4 linked regions of the Callithrix jacchus genome follow. The protein of the gene in region 1 purifies or fractionates together with the protein of each later gene. This does not show direct contact. Links are inferred from orthologs where the notes say so. Each region holds a gene or a part of one and is shown in the gene's direction. Other genes may lie near its edges.

The links.
Region 2: the proteins of STK3 (region 1) and MAP1B purify together in Homo sapiens (affinity purification with mass spectrometry; 4 studies listed by BioGRID and IntAct, with this or other methods). This does not show direct contact. The link is inferred for Callithrix jacchus from reciprocal best matches to the Homo sapiens genes STK3 and MAP1B.
Region 3: the proteins of STK3 (region 1) and RASSF3 purify together in Homo sapiens (affinity purification with mass spectrometry; 4 studies listed by BioGRID and IntAct, with this or other methods). This does not show direct contact. The link is inferred for Callithrix jacchus from reciprocal best matches to the Homo sapiens genes STK3 and RASSF3.
Region 4: the proteins of STK3 (region 1) and VAPA purify together in Homo sapiens (affinity purification with mass spectrometry; 4 studies listed by BioGRID and IntAct, counting the BioPlex papers as one, with this or other methods). This does not show direct contact. The link is inferred for Callithrix jacchus from reciprocal best matches to the Homo sapiens genes STK3 and VAPA.

The regions. Positions count from the first base shown.
Region 1 is NC_133517.1:98,134,191-98,138,864, forward strand, and holds part of STK3 (serine/threonine-protein kinase 3), read left to right. Parts: intron 1-589; coding exon 590-754; intron 755-1,261; coding exon 1,262-1,429; intron 1,430-4,674. UniProt on the Homo sapiens protein: Stress-activated, pro-apoptotic kinase which, following caspase-cleavage, enters the nucleus and induces chromatin condensation followed by internucleosomal DNA fragmentation.
Region 2 is NC_133503.1:139,053,572-139,058,812, reverse strand, and holds the start of MAP1B (microtubule-associated protein 1B), read left to right. Parts: upstream 1-1,803; 5' UTR 1,804-1,860; coding exon 1,861-2,044; intron 2,045-5,241. UniProt on the Homo sapiens protein: Facilitates tyrosination of alpha-tubulin in neuronal microtubules. Phosphorylated MAP1B is required for proper microtubule dynamics and plays a role in the cytoskeletal changes that accompany neuronal differentiation and neurite extension.
Region 3 is NC_133510.1:54,777,022-54,782,377, reverse strand, and holds the start of RASSF3 (ras association domain-containing protein 3), read left to right. Parts: upstream 1-1,918; 5' UTR 1,919-1,958; coding exon 1,959-2,025; intron 2,026-5,356.
Region 4 is NC_133514.1:53,008,672-53,013,897, reverse strand, and holds the start of VAPA (vesicle-associated membrane protein-associated protein A), read left to right. Parts: upstream 1-1,788; 5' UTR 1,789-2,050; coding exon 2,051-2,129; intron 2,130-2,721; exon of another isoform or gene 2,722-2,993; intron 2,994-5,226. UniProt on the Homo sapiens protein: Endoplasmic reticulum (ER)-anchored protein that mediates the formation of contact sites between the ER and endosomes via interaction with FFAT motif-containing proteins such as STARD3 or WDR44.

The DNA.
Region 1 (4,674 bases):
CTTAAGTGATCTGCCCGCCTTGGCCTCCTACACCCTGCCAATACTGACAATCTTAAAGAGAGAAATTTAATCATCCTTTAATGAGTAAAATGTTTAATAAGAGTAAGAAAGCATATTGTGGAAAGAAGAAGTTCTAGATTATTTATCCCTTTAGCGGTTTCCTGGAGGTTTAATGGTCATTAGAAAGAAGTACTTGTGGCTAGGCGTGGTGGGTCACACCTATTATCCCAGCACTTTGGGAGGCTGAGAAAGGAGAATTATTTGAAGCCAGGAGTTCAAGACCAGCCTAGGCAACATAACGAAGCCCACGTCTCTACAGAAATAAAAATAACTTAGCCTATTTGGGTGGCGTGTGCCTGTAGTTCTAGCTACTCGGGAAGCTGAGGTGGGAGTATGGCTTGAGCCCAGGAATATGAGGCTGTAGTGAGCTGTCATCACGCCAACTGTGCTGTAGCCTGGGCAACAGAGTGGGGTGTCTTACACACACACACACACACACACACACACGACATACTTGTTACTAGTGCTTTTTTGTAAGAGTTTATCTAACATGGCATTTTAATATGGTTTTAAAAATATTTCTTTCCAGTTAACAGAAGATGAAATTGCAACCATTCTTAAATCTACATTGAAAGGACTAGAATATCTGCACTTTATGAGAAAAATACACAGAGATATAAAAGCTGGAAATATTCTCCTCAATACAGAAGGACATGCAAAATTGGCAGATTTTGGAGTGGCTGGACAGCTAACAGTAAGTTAAATTTAATAATTTTCTAAACACTTGGCTAATTTGTTCAGCTTTGATTGTAACTAAACTTTGATAACTTTTTGAGGGGGAATGGAAAGAAATGTGTAACTTTTTTGTTTTTGTGGAGAAGGAACCCTAATCGAGCCAAATTCGAGTATTATTTAATTTATAATTTAGGATAATTGAATATGAAAATTTGTAATCAAAATGCTTTACTGTTCTAAAAGGGAAGCTAGTCAGCTCATTTGTGTAGCTTTCAGCATTATAGTATCTTTAAGGATTGTATTTAAGTGATGGTAGTAGAGATAAGTTACCTGTGGATTCTTGGTTGTTTTCAGAATTCAGAATTCCTAAGTATGTCATAACTGGTTGAAATTTTAGCAAAATATAGTCAATTTCTGATACAATATGTGGCATTGGAGGTTTTGACTTTTTCTTAAAGAATGTTTGGCATACAGATTTCCTTTGTGTTTTTGTAGTAGCATTTATGGCTACGTAACATTATTGCAGGATACGATGGCCAAACGCAATACTGTAATAGGAACTCCATTTTGGATGGCTCCTGAGGTGATTCAAGAAATAGGCTATAACTGTGTTGCTGACATCTGGTCCCTCGGCATTACTTCTATAGAAATGGCTGAAGGAAAACCTCCTTATGCTGATATACATCCAATGAGGGTAAGAAAATTATGATTTGCTAAAAATGTTAGCCTTATATAAGTGTTGCAGTTTTGTAATGTCAGTGTAAGTAAATATAAACTAAATACGTTTATTTAAATTTGTTCTTTTTAAAAATGCTAAAATTATCTCTTAAAGATTAGTAACTGATAATTTCTCTTCCTTCTGCATTCTAAATTGTGGGAAAAGAAGTGAAGGCTCTGTATATGTCTACAGTCACTGTTCTACCCCCAAAAATATACCTGTAAAGTTTTTGCTTGCTTTTCAGTAGAAGAAAGGGTTGGTAAATCCTCTTTGCTCTTCAGTTTATTGCTTCTCGATGTGATAGTGGAAGAGTTTGAAGTAATCTGTTCTTACCCACTCCGTAATGTATACCTGTCTCTCTCTCTCTCTATCTCTCTCTCTCTCTCTCTCTCTCTCTCTCTCTCTCTCTCTCTCTCTCTCAGTGTGTGTGTGTGTGTGTGTGTGTGTGTGTGTGTGTGTGTGTGGTTTTTTTTTTCTACCCTTTCTCTTTGGTCTGAGGATGATATTAAGCAATCCTAATTTCTAATATTGCTATGCACCTGTAAAGGAATTAGGCTTTTTTTTTTTTAATGAATCCTTATTCAGAAAATGGAATTCCTTTGTTGAACATCATTATATGTTTCTGTGATCGCTGCAGGAAAATTTTTGAGTTTGAAATATATATCTTACATATTCAAGTCCAATTGCCTATGTTTCAAGATTTGTGATGATATACTTTTTAGGTTTATTACTCTGTGAATCATATAGATAAGTTCATCATCATAGATAAGTACATTTATCTTTGTATACTTATTGCCCTCTAGTGGCTGCAGTTACCTCAATAAGGATATAGAAATGAAGGGAAGAGTGTATGTATGTGTAGAAAAGAGAAGATAGTGTCATGGTGGCTGGAGGAATTTGAAGTAAGTAGGAAGAAGAAGAATGCATTATTTTAGGCTATCTGAAGATGAATAAATTGGAATCACATCTGATATTATAATGCTATTGTGGGTTAAATTTTGATAATATAGGTAATAGTGTATTATATGGAAAACATTTAAAAATCTGTCTGTTGTATTGAAACATTTTTATTTTTTTATTTTATTTATTTTTATTTTTTTGCCAATCAGTTTGAGCTTATGAGGTTGCTCAGGTTAGCCTTGAACTGATGACCTCGCCTTCGCGAGCATTTTTAAAGAGAGTTTTTGTTTTCTCATTCTTTTGAGACAGGGTCTTACTCTGTCACCCTGCCTGTAGTGCAGTAGTGCGATCATGGCTCACTCTAGCCTCAACTTCCTGGGCTCAGGTGATCTTCCCACCTCAGCCTGCAGAGTAGCTGGGGATATAGGTATGCACTATCATGCCCAACTAATTTTCTGTTAGTAGAGACAAGTTGTCGCTACATTGCCCAGGCTATTTTCTGTTAGTAGAGACAAGTTGTCGCTACATTGCCCAGGCTAGTCTCCAACTCCTGGGCTCAAGCGATCCTCCCACTGTGGCTTCCCAAAGTGCTGGGATTACAGGAGTGTGCCCAGCATAGAATTCTTTGAGTAATATAATCGTATACAATATGTACCATCTTCCTTGTGTATGTAAATTCCTTTTGGTAAATGAAAGATAAAAATAGCATCAATTGTTTTAAAATAAAATGAAAAATAACAAGGTCAGCAAGAACAAAAACAGGAACACAGAGTCTTACTTCTTCTCTGATCATTAGTTATCTGTGGTTATTTTAGTTAGGATGTTTGTAGAGTGATCCTCAAAGTAGACAAGTTTGTGTTTCAGTCCGTGAGGGTTACTAAATTACCCAAGGCAACTTAGGTAGGTTCCAGAGCTGGGATTTAACCTAGGACTTCCATTATTACCATTCTGCTTCTTCCCTGTGTAAATCTTATTTTTCTATCCAAATAGTTCAATATGTTAAATTTGACCCTGTGCTACTTTCTCTAGCAGAGAGGAGAGAATTGTAATATGTGACCCCTTCCTTTAAGGATCTGATAATATTACCTGAGAGTTTGAATGAATACATAATACATTGTTAAAAATATACCTGATGATAGTGTTTCTCTTAGGAAAAAAAATATATATATATTGCAAATTTCCTCGGATGCCTTGCTTACTGTTTTTTTTTTTTTCAAACCAGTCTAAATCCTACCATTTTTTAAAGTCTCAACTCAGATTTTATTTCTGGATAGACCCATTCTTGACAGCTGTCGCCCAAGTAAATTTCTCTTTTTCCTCATAATTTGTATATAGGCAATTTTTGACAGTCCAGTTCTTTGGATAGTTAATCAAGTGTTGCCTTGTACATTTCCAAACATAATATAGTTTATCTCCTATTTGAATGATGGCATTATTTAACTTTTTTTGTGTTTGTGAGCTGCCTCACAAATTAGAGTATTGAACTGCAAGTATTGGGGGTTGTTAAGATCATGTAACAGATACAGTTCTATCATGGGCAACAAATACTGCCTTTTATTTGTCTTGAAATGACGGGTTCACTTGGTTCATTTTTGAGAAAATGTCTGTCAAATACCCATCTGTGTAACCTTAGTTTTCTGTCAGTTATTCTTCAAGTAAAATCGGTGTTCTTGAAAAGAGCCTTGTAGTTTATTTAGCTTGCAGCTCAGTCATGCAACTACTTTTTTTCAGATTATTATTGTTCTTTGGTATGTGGGGAAGTGCATTATGCATATTTTCCATTTTGTCATGTAGAATACTACAAAATATATATTCACGTGTGGAAATTTAATAAAGTTAATAACTTTTACTGTTTCTTCAAGGTTTACAGTAGTTTGGTGGGGGGCATAGTACGGGCGTGAAAAGAGCTGTTCAAGAGAGAAAAAAAATGTAGTGGGTCCAGCTAAAATTGGTAATTGAGAAATTGTAATGTAATTAATACTGGTTTATGGGCCTTCCTGTGGTAGCATACTCTGCTGCGCAGTAGAGTGCATTATGGCCTTGATATGCAGGGTTTGGGTTTTAATGAATTAGTGTTTTTAAAGGATGGGGCTACAGGGAATTTAAGGATGCTGCTGAGATACACTTCAGGTGGTTACTAACAGGGCACAGTCTGGAAAGAGAGAGAAATTCTGGAAAGAAAAGAGAATATAAGGAAATGGAGCAATCATGGAATAGTGTTCTCTCCATGCTTGCTGCATAGCAGTCATCTGGGGAGCCCTACCCTAAACAGATGACATCTGAATCTCAAGAGGTTAGAGAGGAGATAAAGTGGTTGTTAA
Region 2 (5,241 bases), on another chromosome or scaffold:
AGAAAAGTAAGAGTGGTTCAAAGAAAGGAAAAACAAACACACTACAGGAGGCTGGAATCCAATGGATGACTTTTGGAAAACAGTGCTCTTCACCATATCTCCTGCCCCTCACCCTGATTATGGGCTTTGGTGATGGGCTTACCTCTCTAACAGCAATTGAGTATCTTAACCAAAATATGATCTGGAAACACTTCATCTATTTACTGGTGAATGCAACTCTCTAGTGAGCCTGTCACGGATCCCAAATACTGCGGGCCAGACAGTATTTTTATTCTGTATTGATCAGATTGACATGTTGGATGGGACCCCCTGCCCCAGCCCTTGGCTACCCAGATGTCTCCCGTGCCAGGGTTTCAGGAAACATGTAAGAGCAAAGAGTACATAACCAGTAAGTGATGGCAGCTAACACCTAAGACACTGGGTTATTTTGGAAATCTTAAGAATATCTAGGTGATTATGTATTTATCATCTATATTCTACTAATATGCTTTCTTGTACTAAAGCTATGTTGACTAATTTCCATCTATTCCTCTCCCTTAAAGCTCGAATCCCCTATCTTTAATGGTGGTATTATGTCTGCACATTTTGTTCTTTCCTCCTCCCCTTTTCTGGGACAAAAGCTGTAATCAGTATATTTGTGAGAAATGGTTGTAAATAGGCTGCCTTTAAAAAAACAACAACACATTTTTATGAGTTCTTCTAAACATAAACAAAGGCAATAAAAATTCCAAATGCTACATATATTTTAAAAGACATCGTCACATGAGATAAATTTGCTTGTGTGTTCACCAAGGAACTGAAAAGTACATTATAGTCACTGTAACCCTGCTGGGTAGAGACAGTATCTTCTCTTTATTCTCTGTAATTCCTGAGACTATCTGTTCAGTATATTAAGGAAAGAAATCGGTATCTGAGATAATGCACCTGCATTTCTCTCATTTCCCATGGGCACCACAAAGCCAGTACTTTTTCACCCCTGGCCCTGGCAGAGTAGAATCCAAAGCCTGAACAACAGTAGGCTTAAGTTTTGCATCTTTGAGGTATTCTTTAAGTGAAGGTGGTAAATACTGATATTGGTAAATATCAGTAAACTCGTCTTCTTAAAGCCACAAGGTCAAAGAAAAGACAGGTTCCATCTTCCTAGGCGGGGTACCCACAGTCCCGAGTCTGCTCATTGTGGCTATGCCAGTTCCTGAGAACCTGGCTACATCATAGATGGCACACGAGGCAAAGGCCTGACTAGTGCACCTCGGACAAGGGAAAGACCCCTACTCTGAAAATGGAAACTCATCCCATTCCCATGCACAGACAGGGTGAGGGTGTGGAGTGGGCAGTGGGTGTGTACGTGGCAGGGGGTGTATAGGCTGGGAGCTTTTTCCCCCTTCAAGGCTGTAGCAGGAGCCCAGGGGGCTCCCCAGCCCCTTGGCTTTCGGCCCTACCCCGACCATTGTCAGCACACCTCGTCCCTCCAGCTTCCGGGCCGCGGGCGAGATGATTTGCTGCAGATGACATCAGCCCCGGGCCAACGGCTGGAAGAGCGGAGGCAGCCACTGCGTGAGGATGTGCCGGGTGGTCCTTTCCTCCTCCTCTTCCTCCTCCTCCCCGGCTCCCTGCCTAGTCTCCATATAAAAGCAGCGCCGCCTCCCCGCCCTCTCTCACTCTCCGCTCCTCTCCGCCGCGCACTCTCCACGGCGCTAGGAGAGGGCGGAGGGGGAGGCGGCGTGGGGCGCGCGGCGCCAGAGGAGGGGGGACGCAGGGGGCGGAGCGGAGACAGCACCTTCGGAGATAATCCTTTCTCCTGCCGCAGAGGAGAGGAGCGGCCAGAGGGAGACACTTCGCTGAGGCACAGCGGCCGGCAGGATGGCGACAGTGGTGGTGGAAGCCACCGAGCCGGAGCCGTCCGGCAGCATCGCCAACCCGGCGGCGTCCACCTCGCCTAGCCTGTCACACCGCTTCCTTGACAGCAAGTTCTACTTGCTGGTGGTCGTCGGCGAGATCGTAACCGAGGAGCACCTGCGGCGCGCCATCGGCAATATCGAGCTCGGTAAGTGGCCCCACGCCCCCAGGGACGCGCGCTGAGAGAGGCGCAAACACGACCCCACCCAGGCGCGACGGTCACCGCGCTCCTCCCTCGTGCCGCGCACCCAGGCCTCTCCCCACCACCTTCCATACTTGATCCAGACTCTTTTCCGGACTAATTAAGAAGAATAATCCGAATGACTAGATATGAGACCCGGGGGGAGTCTCCCAATAACCTTGAGGGATCTGTCACCACGCTGGGTCCGCATCCTCTGCTGAGTTGGCCACCGCCTCTCCCGCTAAGTGAAATGCAGGTGTCAGGGGAGCAGAGGCCAGAATAAAGCCGCAACTGCAGGAGGCAGCAGGGTCGAGGAGACCTGATGCAACCACTCCTTTCAACCCCCTTCTGGCCTCAGGAAAAGGCTGGGACCCCCACAACCGCAGATCGGGGGCCGAAGTCCCATGTGCCAGGGCCCGCGTGGGATTCATCCTCAACCGGCTAACTCAGACCCTGAGAAACGCCTTTTCCGATTTCAAACCTTCTGATCCTTTCTTTCCTCAGAATGACTAGGCTAGTCCTAGGGCCACGCCCGCTCCCCCCCCTCCCCCCCCCGGGATGCTGGGATGCAAAACCGCCTTCGCTTTGCCACTAGACAGAGCCCGCCTCGCTACCGCCCCTGGGGCCTTGGCTGCAGCTCTCAGAAAGGACAATGGGACCCCAAGTTGTGGGGTGGGGCTGCTGCTTTTAAAAGTCCCAGCCTCTGGAGTGGTAGCTTGAAGGGGGTCGGTGGGGGAGACGTCAGCGGGTAGGTCAGCTCCTCGCCCGGTGCGTGCACCATTGGCGCTCTCTGCGGAGACCGAATAGCGGTTCGCCCGCGACCCTGGGCGGGGTCGTGAGGGTCCGACGGGCGCAGCCTCGGGCGCACCGAGAGACCCGCCCCCAGCCCCACCCGAGCTGCCGCAGTGCCCCCGGACCGCCCGACGCACCTGCCCCCCCCACACTGCGGCGCCCCAGTCGGGCTCGGCTGTCGGGGCGTGCGCTCTGCCCCGGCCTCCGGCTGGCGGGGGCCACGCGTCCCCACCTCTCCCTCTGCCTGGCTTTGTTGCGCTGGGAGTCCCTGGGTGGGCAGCTCTGGTCTCTGCCTTTCCCTTTATCCCCTAGCGTCCCGGCCCTCCCCTCGCCCCTGACAGAGGTCGCCGGGACCCTCCGCAGCCCCAGCCCGCGCTCTATTCTCCTGGGGTGGTGCTGAAGTGTTTCTCCGGGAGACACCGGTTGGTGGGCGTGGTGCAGTCCGCACTGCGGTCTCTACGGCAGCCCGAGGCGGACAAAGGGCGTTCACGCAGCCCTCGTTCTCCGCTCCCCCTCCCCAATAAAAGACGAAAGAAAAACCTTGTTTTAGATTTAAAAATAAATAAATAAATGCTTGTCATCTGCCTCTACAGTTGGAAACGGCCACTTGTCCCCAGAACAAAAGGCTGCAGGGTGGGGACTGTAGTTGCAGACCTGGTTCTTTTGTTTAACTTTAAAGCACTTGATTTTTTCCTTTCAGCTTAAAAAAAACAAAGAAAAAAAAATGTGAGCTGCAAGTCATGATATTTTATTTCCAAAAATTCAAGAACAAGCGATATTTCAATAGTGTAATGTCTTATTTGAACATCTCAATAACCCTCCATTTTCAGATTATAGGCCTTTGGTCTGATCAGTTCTAATTTAGTTTATTTGCACAATTTTCTCCTTGAAAAAATTTACACGTATTGACTTTGGGTGTGGCCATTGTAGGAATTAATGACTTCGGATTTTTTTCTTTAAAAAATTATTTGTAAGTGGCATTCCTGGGAGATAAGAATATATTAGGAGGTGCTTTTCTATCTACAAGATCTTCATAACCATTAGATGTGGCGGTGCTAGAAGGGGGATCATCAACCCCGTTTTAGAGGTGGGGACCCAGAGAGGCAGAAAGGGTAAGATAACCGGCTCAAGGTCACAGCACGCGTAAGTGACAAAAGTGCCGGTATTGCAGCGTCACTCGTTTTCTGACCCTGTCATGATGTTGGTGGAGGGAGGTTTCAGTACGACAGTTTTCAGGGCTTGCCTTTGTATGGCCATCCACTTGTGGGCAGCGCCCCATGCCGGGAGATGGTTCAGCTGTCACCTTCGGACCGTAATTACCTTCCTGCTTTGTTACTCAGCTGATCATTTTAGTGCCGTATTCCTCAGAGGGTTTATTCAAGCTACAAAACACAGGAATCCACATACTGCTATGAAGAAGGGCCCCCTGCCTTTACTGGTTTTTACACTACTAGCCTTTAGTGATAAAATTCAGATTGGTCTTCTTGACATTAATTGTTTAAAAGAATTATATAGAGAGGAAATGGCACAAATCAAAGATGCAGCTCAACAAATTTTCACAAAACAGACACAACCTGAATTACCCAGATCAAGAAACAGACATTACTGGAACCCCCTCAAAACCCACCTTGTGTTCCCTTTGCAGTAATCACCATGCCTTCCTGATTTTTAATTCCCTAGTTTGGTCAGGTTTTTGCATGGAACTCTGAAATGACTGTATTGATCCCGTTAAGAATCAACCAAGTGAGTGAGCAGAGCCATTTCCTTACACACCATAGCAGATGCTGCTTTTCCTCTGGAGATGGCTTTCCTAGCTCCTGGAGTGTTGGATGCAGCTTAAGATGGCAGGCCCTTACAGTGCTAAGTGAAAATCCTGCTCTCGCAGCTTTTCAGACAGTCTGAAATGACTTAGCAACAGGGCAGGCTGGCCCTGTTTTCCTGTGCATGACAAGCTGCTGTTTCAGCCACCGGGTCCCAGCTGGGCCTCCTCCAGAGGTCACTCTGATGCCACTGCTGTTGTTGCTGGTGCCTTTGGGCTGTGTTGTGTGAAGGGAGATGGAGCCACTCCAGGGGGCCTGCTCTGATGATTGTGTGCTGCAGGCTCTGAAAGCAGTTCCTCATCTGTTACTCTTTCTTCCTATTTTCCTTCCTGCCTTAACTGAGAATCTGGATTTGGAGACCCTGGTGACTTGGATTCTTGCCATCTGATTACTGAGGGCTCTCTGGGAAGCCTAGAAAATAATCTATAAATCTGTAGAGACGTGGTGGTAATGCAGTAAATCAACAGGCCTGGAACATCCCAATGTGGATGCTTCATAAATGCTTCTTGAAACCAAGGAAGAGAGATGCTCTTGTTTTCTCAACTGTATTTG
Region 3 (5,356 bases), on another chromosome or scaffold:
TGGTGAAATCAACTCTCCTCTGCCTCGGGACACCAGAAAAGTGAAACAATGCAGTCTTCCTCAGAGGGTTTCACCAAGGGATAAAAATGCCTCATAGTCAACAAAAGTGGGAGATCAGGGAGAGAAAAGACAGCTACCTGTAGGTTTCTAACCATTAAAAAGGCAGCCATTTGGGAGAGAATGCTTTGAAAGCATTTGAGCACAAAGCAAGGACGGCACTGAGCGGCTCTGCCTTCTGTTGGGATGGATTGCTGGCTGCGGGTTCAAATAGAAAACAGCCCTATTTACAGGCACGGTTAAAGAGCAGCCTATCCTCTCCTCTTAATTCTTAACTATTATTGTAGTGGGCCTTTCCCTCCAAACACTGGGAATCGTGATCTAACCTATCATGTGAAGTGGAGTCTCCTAGTATTCTTGGAAATATCGGCAGCCCTGCTCATAAGTGCAAATTTTCTGAACAAGAAATATCCAGTGTTTCTTTCAATGGTTTACCCTTTTAGAGCACTTACCATAGTGCTGGGTAACATTCTAAGCACTTTTCACACTTATCACAACTCAGTGAGGGCTAGACATGGTGGCTCATGTCTGTAATTCTAGCACTATGGGAGGCCAAGGTGGGAGAATCACTTAAGCCCAGGGGTTCAAGACCAACCTGGGCAACATAGGAAGACCTCATCTCTACCAAAAAAAAATAAAAAAATTTTTTTGAGATGGAGTCTTGCTCTCTCACTAGGCTGGAGTATAATCTCGGCTCACTGCAACCTCCGCCTCTTGGGTTCAAGCGGTTCTCCTGCCTCAGTCTCCTGAGTAGCTGGGACTACAGGGGTGCGCCACCACGCCCAGCTAAAATTTTTTTTGTATTTTTAATAGAGACAGGGTTTCACCATGTCGGCCAGGATGGTCTCGATCTCCTGACCTCATGATCTGCCCACCTTGGCCTCCCAAAGTGCTGGGATTACAGGCATGAGCCACCGAGCCTGGCCAGTCTCAATCTCTTGACTTTGTGATCCACCCGCTTTGGCCTCCCAAAGTGTTGAGATTACAGGCATGAGCCACTGTATCCAGACTTCTTTTGTTTTGTTTTTTTGAGACAGAGTCTTGCTCTGTTGCCAGGCTGGAGTGCAGTGGTGCAATCTCGGCTCACTGCAACATCTACCTCAATTCAAGTGATTCTCCTGCCTCAGCCTCCCGAGTAGCTGGGACTACAAGTGCGTGCCACCACATCCAGCTAATTTTTGTAATTTTAGTAGAGACAGGGTTTCTGTTGTCCAGTATGATCTTGATCTCCCGACCTTGTGATTCACCCGCTTTGGCTTCCCAAAGCACTGGGATTACAGGTGTGAGCCACTGCACTGGGTCTGAAAAAAGTTTTTTAATTAGGCAGGCATTGTGGCACTTGCCTGTGGTCCCAGCTACTCGGGAAGCTGAGATAGGAGAATTGCTTCATCCTAGGAGATCAAGATTGCAGCGAGCTGAGATCATGCCACTGCATTCCAGCCTGGGCAACAGAGGGAGACCCTGTCTCAAAAACAGTAGCAACAACAAACTCAGTGAGATGAGAACTATTATTTTCCTCATTTTACAGAAGAAATGGAGGGACAGAGAGGTTAAATACATTGCCAAAGGTCACACAGCTCATCTAAAGTGTCTGGGTCCAGAGGCCTAACTACCTCCCCAGGTGTCTCCATTCAACACTATGGTCTCGGAGATACTCCCTCAGCCTCTTCTAACTTGACTTACAGACACAGGTGTGAACGTTTGACAGTCCCTGTGAGCAGGGTTGCTGAGCATGCTGATGGGCACTTGGAAAAGTACATGAAGCCAGGGAATGAAGAAAGGCCGAGGGCCTGCTCCCTGGTGGGCTCTGAGTCACGCAGGTCAGCTAGGCCTGGACGGCTCAGCCTGTCACCGTCAGCTGTCTCTCTGTGCTCTGCTGCACAACAGGGCCAAGCTCGGAGATGGGAACTGCGATTTATAAGCTCTCGGGCAAAATCAACTTTCAGGTGAAGAAAACTCACATACCTGGTAGGTTACTCTTGCTTTGGATGGTCTGAGGGCACCAGGGCTGCTGGGCAGAATCAGTCCCCTTGTTGGTTCAATTGTTTGTGCCTTTGATGTTACAGAAAGACCCGGCTGGATTTCAGGGCTAGGGATCAATGCTTCAGCCAGGCCTGCTATTTTGGTTTCTTGTCATCTGAGTTCGTTTATAAGCTATTTCACAAGTAAGCTTTATTTCTTGTAGACAAATGTGCTTTCAAATTTCGCATGAGTTAAACAAAGGATGGAGAAACAGGGCTCTGCAGCTTCTATTACAGGACAGCTCGGGAGGTTTCATTTTCCAACAGATGTAACCTTAACGCCAGCGTTATTTTGACCAGTTATAAATATCAAGGACATGTGTTTTGCAGTTCAGATTCTTCCTAAAAAGACTCAAGAACTTTCAGGATAAAGCCATGGCTCCCAGGTCTTTCTCAGGAAGCAACAGAAAATGCATACAGGCTTGCAGTCCTGGAAGGAGACTTGTGGGAGGTGCCCAGGTAACAGCAGAGCACCTATAAAATGCTTGGTAGAGCCTGGGGCTTCCTGTGGCTTCGGGACATGGGTAGATCTTTATTATTGACAAAATCTAAATAAAACTGTAGCAGGAATTAAATATCAAGGTGGGGCAACGTGGCTCACGCCTGTAATCTCAGCACTTTGGGAGGCTGAGGTGGGAGGATTACTTGAACCCTTGAGTTTGAGACCAGCCTGGGAAACATAGCAAGACCCCATCTTAAAAAAACATTGTTTGAATTAGCTGGGTGTGGTGATAGGCATCTGTAGTCTCAGCCACTTGGAAGGCTGAGGCAGGAAGATTGTTTGAGCCCAGGAGTTAAGACTGCAGTAAGCTACCATGGTTCCACTGTACAAGCAGCCTGGGCAACAGAGCAAAACTCTGTCTCCAAAAAAATAAAATAAAAGACAGCCTGGGCAACATAGGGAGACCCAATCTCTACAACAACAACAAACCCTAGCCAGGCATGGTGGCGTGCACTTAAGGTCCCAGCTACTAGGGAGGCTGAGGCAGGAAGATCGCTTGATCCCAGGAATTCGAGGCTGCAGTGAGCCATGATCGTGTCACTGCACTCTAGCCTGGGTGACAGACTGAGACCCTGTTTCAAAACTAAAATAAAATAATAAAAGAAAATAAATTAAATATTAAGTAAAAGAGGGGATTTCCCATTTTACTCTCACCAGTGGCTGATAAATGACCAACCCCAAGGCTAGTAAGGGCCTCTGCAAGGTTGGGAGTAGAAAGGAGGGAGCTCACAAGGAGGGGTGTATGTGTGTGTATGAGAAAAAGCGAGACTAGACAGAGAGAGACAGTGTCTGTTTTTAGGGTGGGAAGGGGTGGAATGGACTCAGAGAGGAATTCTACCTGATCTTAAGCCATGACCTGCCTGTTTCTTAGTGTGTGTGGTGAGATGCCTGCCTCACCCTAAACTGTGGAAAATGTCACCAGGTTATGTTGACATTCTATTAACTATGTTTGCCATGTGACCATCTTACTACCATTATCTAGAGGCTCTTACCAAACAAGTAAGTAGTTGGTATTTCTAGAATAGCTTGCCTGACAGTAAGGCACAGCATTACCATATTTCCTCATCTCTAAGGCACCATCTATTGTGACATACACCATCACTTTTTGTACCACTAAGAAAGGAAAGTGCTGTCAATTTCAGCATGTTGTGCCATTGATGATAAGATGTATGATCATTCCAGAGATATTTACATGTTAAAAAAAAGAGTACCTTTTAATATAGATGACATTCAGTTGATGGCAGTTCAAAGTTCCTTTTAGTCTTTCTATAAATCGGTGTTCCATGTAAGAGTATTTCATTCTATTAACTATGTTTATGGGCAAGCATTGTGGCTCATGCCAGGAGTGCAAGGCTGCAGTCATGCCACTGCACTCCAGCTTAGCTGATGAAGTGAGACTGTCTCTAAGAAAAACAAAACAAACAACATTTACAATAAGGGATAAATATCTCCCCTTTTTTTCTTGTTTGGAGACACGGTCTTGCTGTGTTGCCCAGGCTGGAGTGCAGTGATAAAACCACGGCTCACTACAGCCTCAAGTTCCCAGACTTGAGTGATCCTCCTGCCTCAGCCTCCCGAGTAGCTGAAACATGCCACCACACCAGCTAACATTTTGGTTTTTTTTAGTAGAGACAGGGTCCCTCCATGTTGCCCAGGCTTGTCTCAAACTCCTGGGCTCAAGCAATCCTCTCATCTTGACCTCCCAAAGTGCTGGGAATACAGGCATGAGCCACTATGCCTGGCCATGCATGTGTTTTGTTTTCACTTTTTTTTTTGAGATGGAGTTTCACTCTTGTTGCTGAGGCTGGAGTCCAATGACATCATCTCAGCTCACTGCAACCTCTGCCTCCTGGGTTCAAGGGATTCTCCTGCCTCAGCCTCCCAAGTAGTTGGATTACAAGCATGCACCAGTACACCCGGGTAATTTTGTATTTTTAGTCGAGACAGGATTTCTCCATGTTGGTCAGGCTGATCTCGAACTCCCAAGCTCAGGTAATCTGCCCGCCCAAAGTGCTGGGATTATAGGTGCGAGCCACCACGCCCCGCCTGTTTTCACTTTTTTAAAGTAGGCTTTTAATAGGAGAAAATAGTGGGCCTGATGTAGGCTAGACATTGTAGAGATAAAAATAACTATGATGGAGAAACAAAAATGCATCAGAAGAATAAATGTGGGCAGGGCGCGGTGGCTCACTCCTGTGATCCCAGCACTTTGGGAGGCTGAGGTGGGTGGATCACGAGGTCAAGAGATCGAGACCATCCTGGTCAACATGGTGAAACCCCGTCTCTACTAAAAATACAAAAATTAGCTGGGTAGTCCCAGCTACTCGGGAGGTTGAGGCAGGAGAATTGCTTGAACCCAGGAGGCGGAGGTTGCAGTGAGCCAAGAGCACGCTATTGCACTCCAGCCTGCGTAACAAGAGTGAAACTCCATCTCAAAAAAAAAAAAAAAAAGAAGAAGAAATGTTTTCTGAATTGCTGGTGAATTCCCTCTTAAAATACTGTTTACCAGCACACAGCTCTCTAATTCAATTTGTCTGTTGGGTTTATTACCACGCAGACACACATAAATAATAACATAATAACTTTATTCTGTTTCCCAAATAAGAAGGAAGAGCCTTGGGACTTAAAAAGACCAAATGGTGCATAGTCTTCAAAGGAGAAGCATATGGAATAAGGAATTGAAATGAATCATATATCCCATTCTATTTGAATTTAAATAAGGAGTTCTGTGGGATTTCAGTTCTAGTTCTATTTTGGGGTAGACAACAGAAGAGGA
Region 4 (5,226 bases), on another chromosome or scaffold:
CATCCAATTCGGGATTCCCATTAAACCCATGGTGAATGGGTGGACCATTCATCCTTCCGTAGGGGAGTTGCTGGGAATTTCCTCTGCATGCTATTCTGCTAGTTGGCTGTTTGCACATGGGGGATTCACAAATGCTTTCTGGTAAGAGAAGTGTCCCTCCAGCTATGGAGGGACCGGTTCAGCCTAGGCTAGCTTGCCCATGGAGGAGAGATCTTAGGCTGGCAAAATACTGGAGTTTGTGAGGGCCTTTAGGGTTGTCAATTCACAACTAAACTTATGTGGGACACTATTATTTGGACTGATTGTCAACTTTAGTTTTTTTTTCCTTAAAACAAAATCAACTTTAACTCATATACAATTTTTTTTGGTATTCTGCCTTAATGATAATCGACATTTCAGAATAAATTTTGCAAATAGAAAGAAATCACAGGAAAGGTAAATTTAGAATATGCTTCAAACTTCTTAAGCACTCTATCCTCCCAGGAACTTCAAGGCTGAAGATGCATTCCTCCTGGGTGGCACCATCTTCTGTGAATGCCAGGTTAGTGATTCCAGTAGGCTGTTCCTGGGTGGACTCTGATACCTGGATTGCACATGAAAACTTGGTGCCTGCGTCTTGACTGCTGTTTTGTCTCATTTATTTTCTAGACAAACTGTGCTGCTTTACGGCAGTAGCATCAATCAATATGTCTTTTATTTTGTGGCGCTTCCTAGATATTTAAATTCAGACAGTATCATACAATACAATAAAGGTTTATTTACAGCACATTCGCTTCATTTGACGTTCCTGTACCGGATTACCTTGGCAATCGGCTAAAGATTTGTCAGCAACTTTGCTGCTGGGATTTTTCTCATTTGGTTCAGTTTACTACAGCCTATCATAAGTGATGCAGATGGATTTCTTTTGTAACATGTGAACGTGACAACTGTGTTGGTTTGGGTCCATCATTAATCAAAACTGAAGATTCGTAGGCTCGATGGTGTAGATTTTGACTTTTGTTTCTAGCTTTTGTGTGCTTTGTCATATTTCCCCTGCGACTCGTTTGCTTCCTAGACGGGGTGTGCTTCCTTATCTGATTTTGCATCACTGGAGAGAACTCAGGAAGCAGGAGAGGCTGGATGGGATCATTACAGGGAATGCAGTCTTGCCAACAGAGGGATGGATAGAATTACAGAGCAAACGGACACATCCCCGCCTGTTCTCCACAGGGCAGATTTTATCAGTATATTTCTAACATTGGGAACTCGTTTCCGCCTTCAAAAGTTTTTTCCTTTTTAGCGCAAACTAGACGTGCTCTGAGCCAAAATTAGCGTCCGCGAACCCCACCCCATTCGCCTCAAAAGGACCTCGCTCACCTTCCCGCCCACAAACAGCCACTACTACACTTCCCAGCAAGCACCGCGAAGTACCAGGCCCTCGGCGAAGGCCCCGCCCCACAAGGGGCATGCTGGGAGTTGTAGTGAGTGGGCGCTTCCCCACTACTCCTCCCTAGGCATTCCCACTTGGAAGACCGTGATGCGCTGCCAGAGCAGGTTCTCTAGTTTCGTACTCGTAGCTCAACGTGACAGAGGACTGCGCCTCAAGCCTGCGGCTGCGCATCGCGTCGGTCCCGCGGGCCTTTGCCCCGCCTCTTTCCACACCCGTTCCCTTGACAGCTGGGCTGCGCTTGGAGCCGCGGCGAGCCCTCAGCGCGCAGGCGCAGTAGCCCGGCGCCGCGTTAGGTAGGCCTGGAGGGCGGGACGAGCGCGAGGGGCTCTCGGTCGCCGGGGCGCGCACGTAGGCAACGCAGAGACCATCACGTGGGGCGCCGAAGATCGCAGTGCGCGTGGCCGTGGCGGCTGGTGTGGGGTTGAGTCAGTTGTGAGATCCGGAGCTGCTGACCCAGCGGGTGGCCCACCGTACCCGCGACACAGCGGCAGGCGTCAGGGCTCGGAAGCGGCGAGCCTGGCTCCGTCCTAGAGGTTGGCCGAGCGGGCACCACCGTCGTTCCCCGCCCCCAGCCAGCAAACCGTCGCCGCGGGCGCGCCCCCGCTCTGCGCTGTCTCTCCGATGGCGTCCGCCTCCGGGGCCATGGCGAAGCATGAGCAGATCTTGGTCCTCGACCCGCCCACAGACCTCAAATTCAAAGGTAGGCAGGATGGGGACACCCCCGGGCGGGATGGGGCACGCGGACGGCTGTCGGCGGCGGGGGGCGCGGAGAGCACGTCGGCGGCCGCGGCCCGAGGGAGCGCCCCCTCCCCCACGCCCGGGCGCCTGCCCTTTCCCGGCTGCTGCCTCGCCGCGGCCTCTGCCTGCCTGCCCGGCTCTCAGGCTGGCTTCTTTCCCTTTCGCCCGCCCGCGCTGCAGTGCGCGCGCCGGCCCAGGCGAGGCGGAGGGGAGCCGGGCCCTGGCGCCGCCGCCGCCATCTTGCGGTCCCGCGGGGGCGCCACCCGGGTGTTCGGTCCCGCCCGCGCCGCCGTCGGCCGGGGCCCAAGTCCTTGGCTCCTGAGGCCGACGGCGTGCTTCAGCGGGGCGTGGGTGGGTGGGCACCCGCGGGCGTGCGGTAGGGGCTGCGGCGGGGAGTGGGCTCTGGAGGTGGCGCAAGCTGCGTCCGTCTCCGGTTCCCGCTGTCAGTGGCGCGGGACCCCTCGGGAGTGAGAGCCGTCTCCCGACTCTGGCCCCGGCCCGGGGAGAGTTGGGTGCAGCCGGACTAGGGCTCCGCGGAGGGCGTCTCTCCTCACCTTTCCTCCCTGTTTAGAACTCGGCTGTCAGGTGTAGGGCGCGCTGGGGAGGCGGAGGAGCCCGGGAGGTGCCTGGCGAGGGCTGCCCGGTGCTCTTGGCACGGCCCCAAGCGCGTGCGGGCAGGAGCGATGCGTCAGCCGCGAAAGCAGAGTTGTAGGTTCATAGTAGCGGGGCTTCCTGCCTTCTACGACATTTCAGTGTGCCACCCGCGTGCTTGCTCTTATTTAGCCCTTCAGTTGAGCTCCTCTGCTGAGAAGCCTTCAGTACGTGTGACTTTTGCCTTTACGTTTGCGGTTTCCTACAGACCCTGAGAAGGCTAAGGTCAGCCAGCTCTGGAACTTTGTAGGTTTATTTTGTAGCACTGCCGGTGATAAGTTTTCAGTCTGACTTGGTGATACTGGAACAATCCCAGGGGCTGTTTGATCCGTTTGCTTGTCAATATAAGGTGTACTTTAGGAAAGAGAGTTAGAAACTGGACAGGTTTTTGTTTTTTTCTTGTACTTAAGGAATACTGAAAGAGTGTGAACATCTAATAGAAAGGTTCCTTCCTATCTTTAGTTAAGTGTAAAGTGAGTCCCCTTTTGGAAGTCAGTGTCTTGTAGTTCAGTTTGTTGAATGAGAACAATTTTTGTGAGGTGTATAGCAATTCTAGTGCTAAAAGAAACAGTGAAATCCTTTATTGTTGTGTAACGAGAAATCCCAACTACATTGTTTTCCACAGGAAAAACTTTAGTTTTAGGAATTTAAAATATATTCTGAAATTACGAGATTAATATTGGATAACTGCATTGCAAGTTTTTTAGTGCATTTACAAATTTCTTTTCTTTCTTTCTTTTTTTTTTTTTTTAAATAAAGACGGGGTTTCACCATGTTGGTTAGGCTGGTCTTGAACTCCCGACCTCAGGTGATCCGCCCGCCTTGGCCTCCAAAGTGCTTGGATTACAGGCGTGAGCCACCACGCCCGGCCTATTGAATAGAAAAGTGAGTGAGCTACTTGTTGGGTAAGGATTTGGTTTTAAGACAAGGTGCAGTGAATGTATTTTATTGCAAGTTAATGTATGTTGTGTGATTTTACATAGTTTTAGCTGGGGGAAAACCTTTGAGGAATCGTGAAATGTCCTAACTCAGCCATAATCTTGAGATAATTGAATGTAAACCTCTATGATGTGTGTGTGTGTGTGTGTGTGTGTGTGTATTTCGTTTTTATCTTTTGACTGGCTGTGTTTACAGTGAACGTTTCCTCTACTGGATAACTGTGTAAATTGCCGTTAGGTGCTTACAAGCCTTGACAACCAGTTTTAGGCCATGAAATGTCCACAGAGTTTGAAGGTTTCTCCTTGGGGAAGTTGTTACGTTGCTTTAGTAAGAGACTAGTAATAGTGGAGAAGCAGGTTTAAAAAAAAACAACCAAAAACCCTACACAGTGACTTACTCATATATTTCCTTCTTTGGGGGTATTGGAGAATTATAGCTATGATTATGGAACACATTGTTCTTGTGTTGCCAGTACAAATGATAAGACTAGTAAGGGAAAAAGAGAAAATGTACAAATGGTGTAAGAGAGACACAATCCTGTCTGAGGAAAGAAGCCCTTTCTCTACGTGCCCCATCCATCCCTCCCTTAGGAAGCCTTTAACGAAAAGGCTTGTTTTTCATTTCAGGGAAGGTTTAAGCCCAGAGAGTGGTTGAGTAAACAAACTGTTGTGAGAAAATGCCTGGTACTTAAATGCCCAATAGTTCATTGTGTGTTTCACTTTAAAGATACAGATAATGGGGAGGATTGGGAGGTGACATTTGGTGTTTGATTCCTTTTTAATATTGTTTTAGTCAAAGGCAAATTGTTTGCTTTGATGGAAACCTTCGTATATGCACAGCTCAACACTGAGGAGACTGATTTAGAATCTATAGTCTACTTGTGCTTTATGATTAAAAAAATAATTTGACTTATTCTAAATTACTAAAAATTTTATTTTTAAGTGAAGGACTTTTAAAAGAGAGTTTTGCCGAATTCTTTGTCATCTTCTAGTAGGTTTATTTTAGTTATTTTGATTCTGAGTTTGAGATGATTTCTCCAGCAGTGACTCAGGTGATCATTCTGAAATTGGATCGTTTTTCTTTTATATACCTAACACAATCATCTTGAAGATGAATTAACAGCATTTTGCACAATTTTGCAGAAGCAGATAACTAGTTCAGTACATTTTTCTACATACCTCAGTATTGTAAAAAAAAGTTTGTTTTATACAATTTTTAACATACAAAAGTGCATTTATGATGTAATGAATTCTGAAGTAGAAATCTTGTGTTAGTAAAGAAAAAGAAATAGACATTGCTTTACTTCAAATTCTGTTGTTTAAACCTGGGAAGTAATTTTACCTAAATTTCAGATTTGAAACTTGGTATTTTATGTGAAAAAACTTTTTTTGTCTTTAAAATTTTTTACATGATAAAATTCTGTTATAACGGAATGTTATTACACAACATTTTATTTTTCCCACCTATTA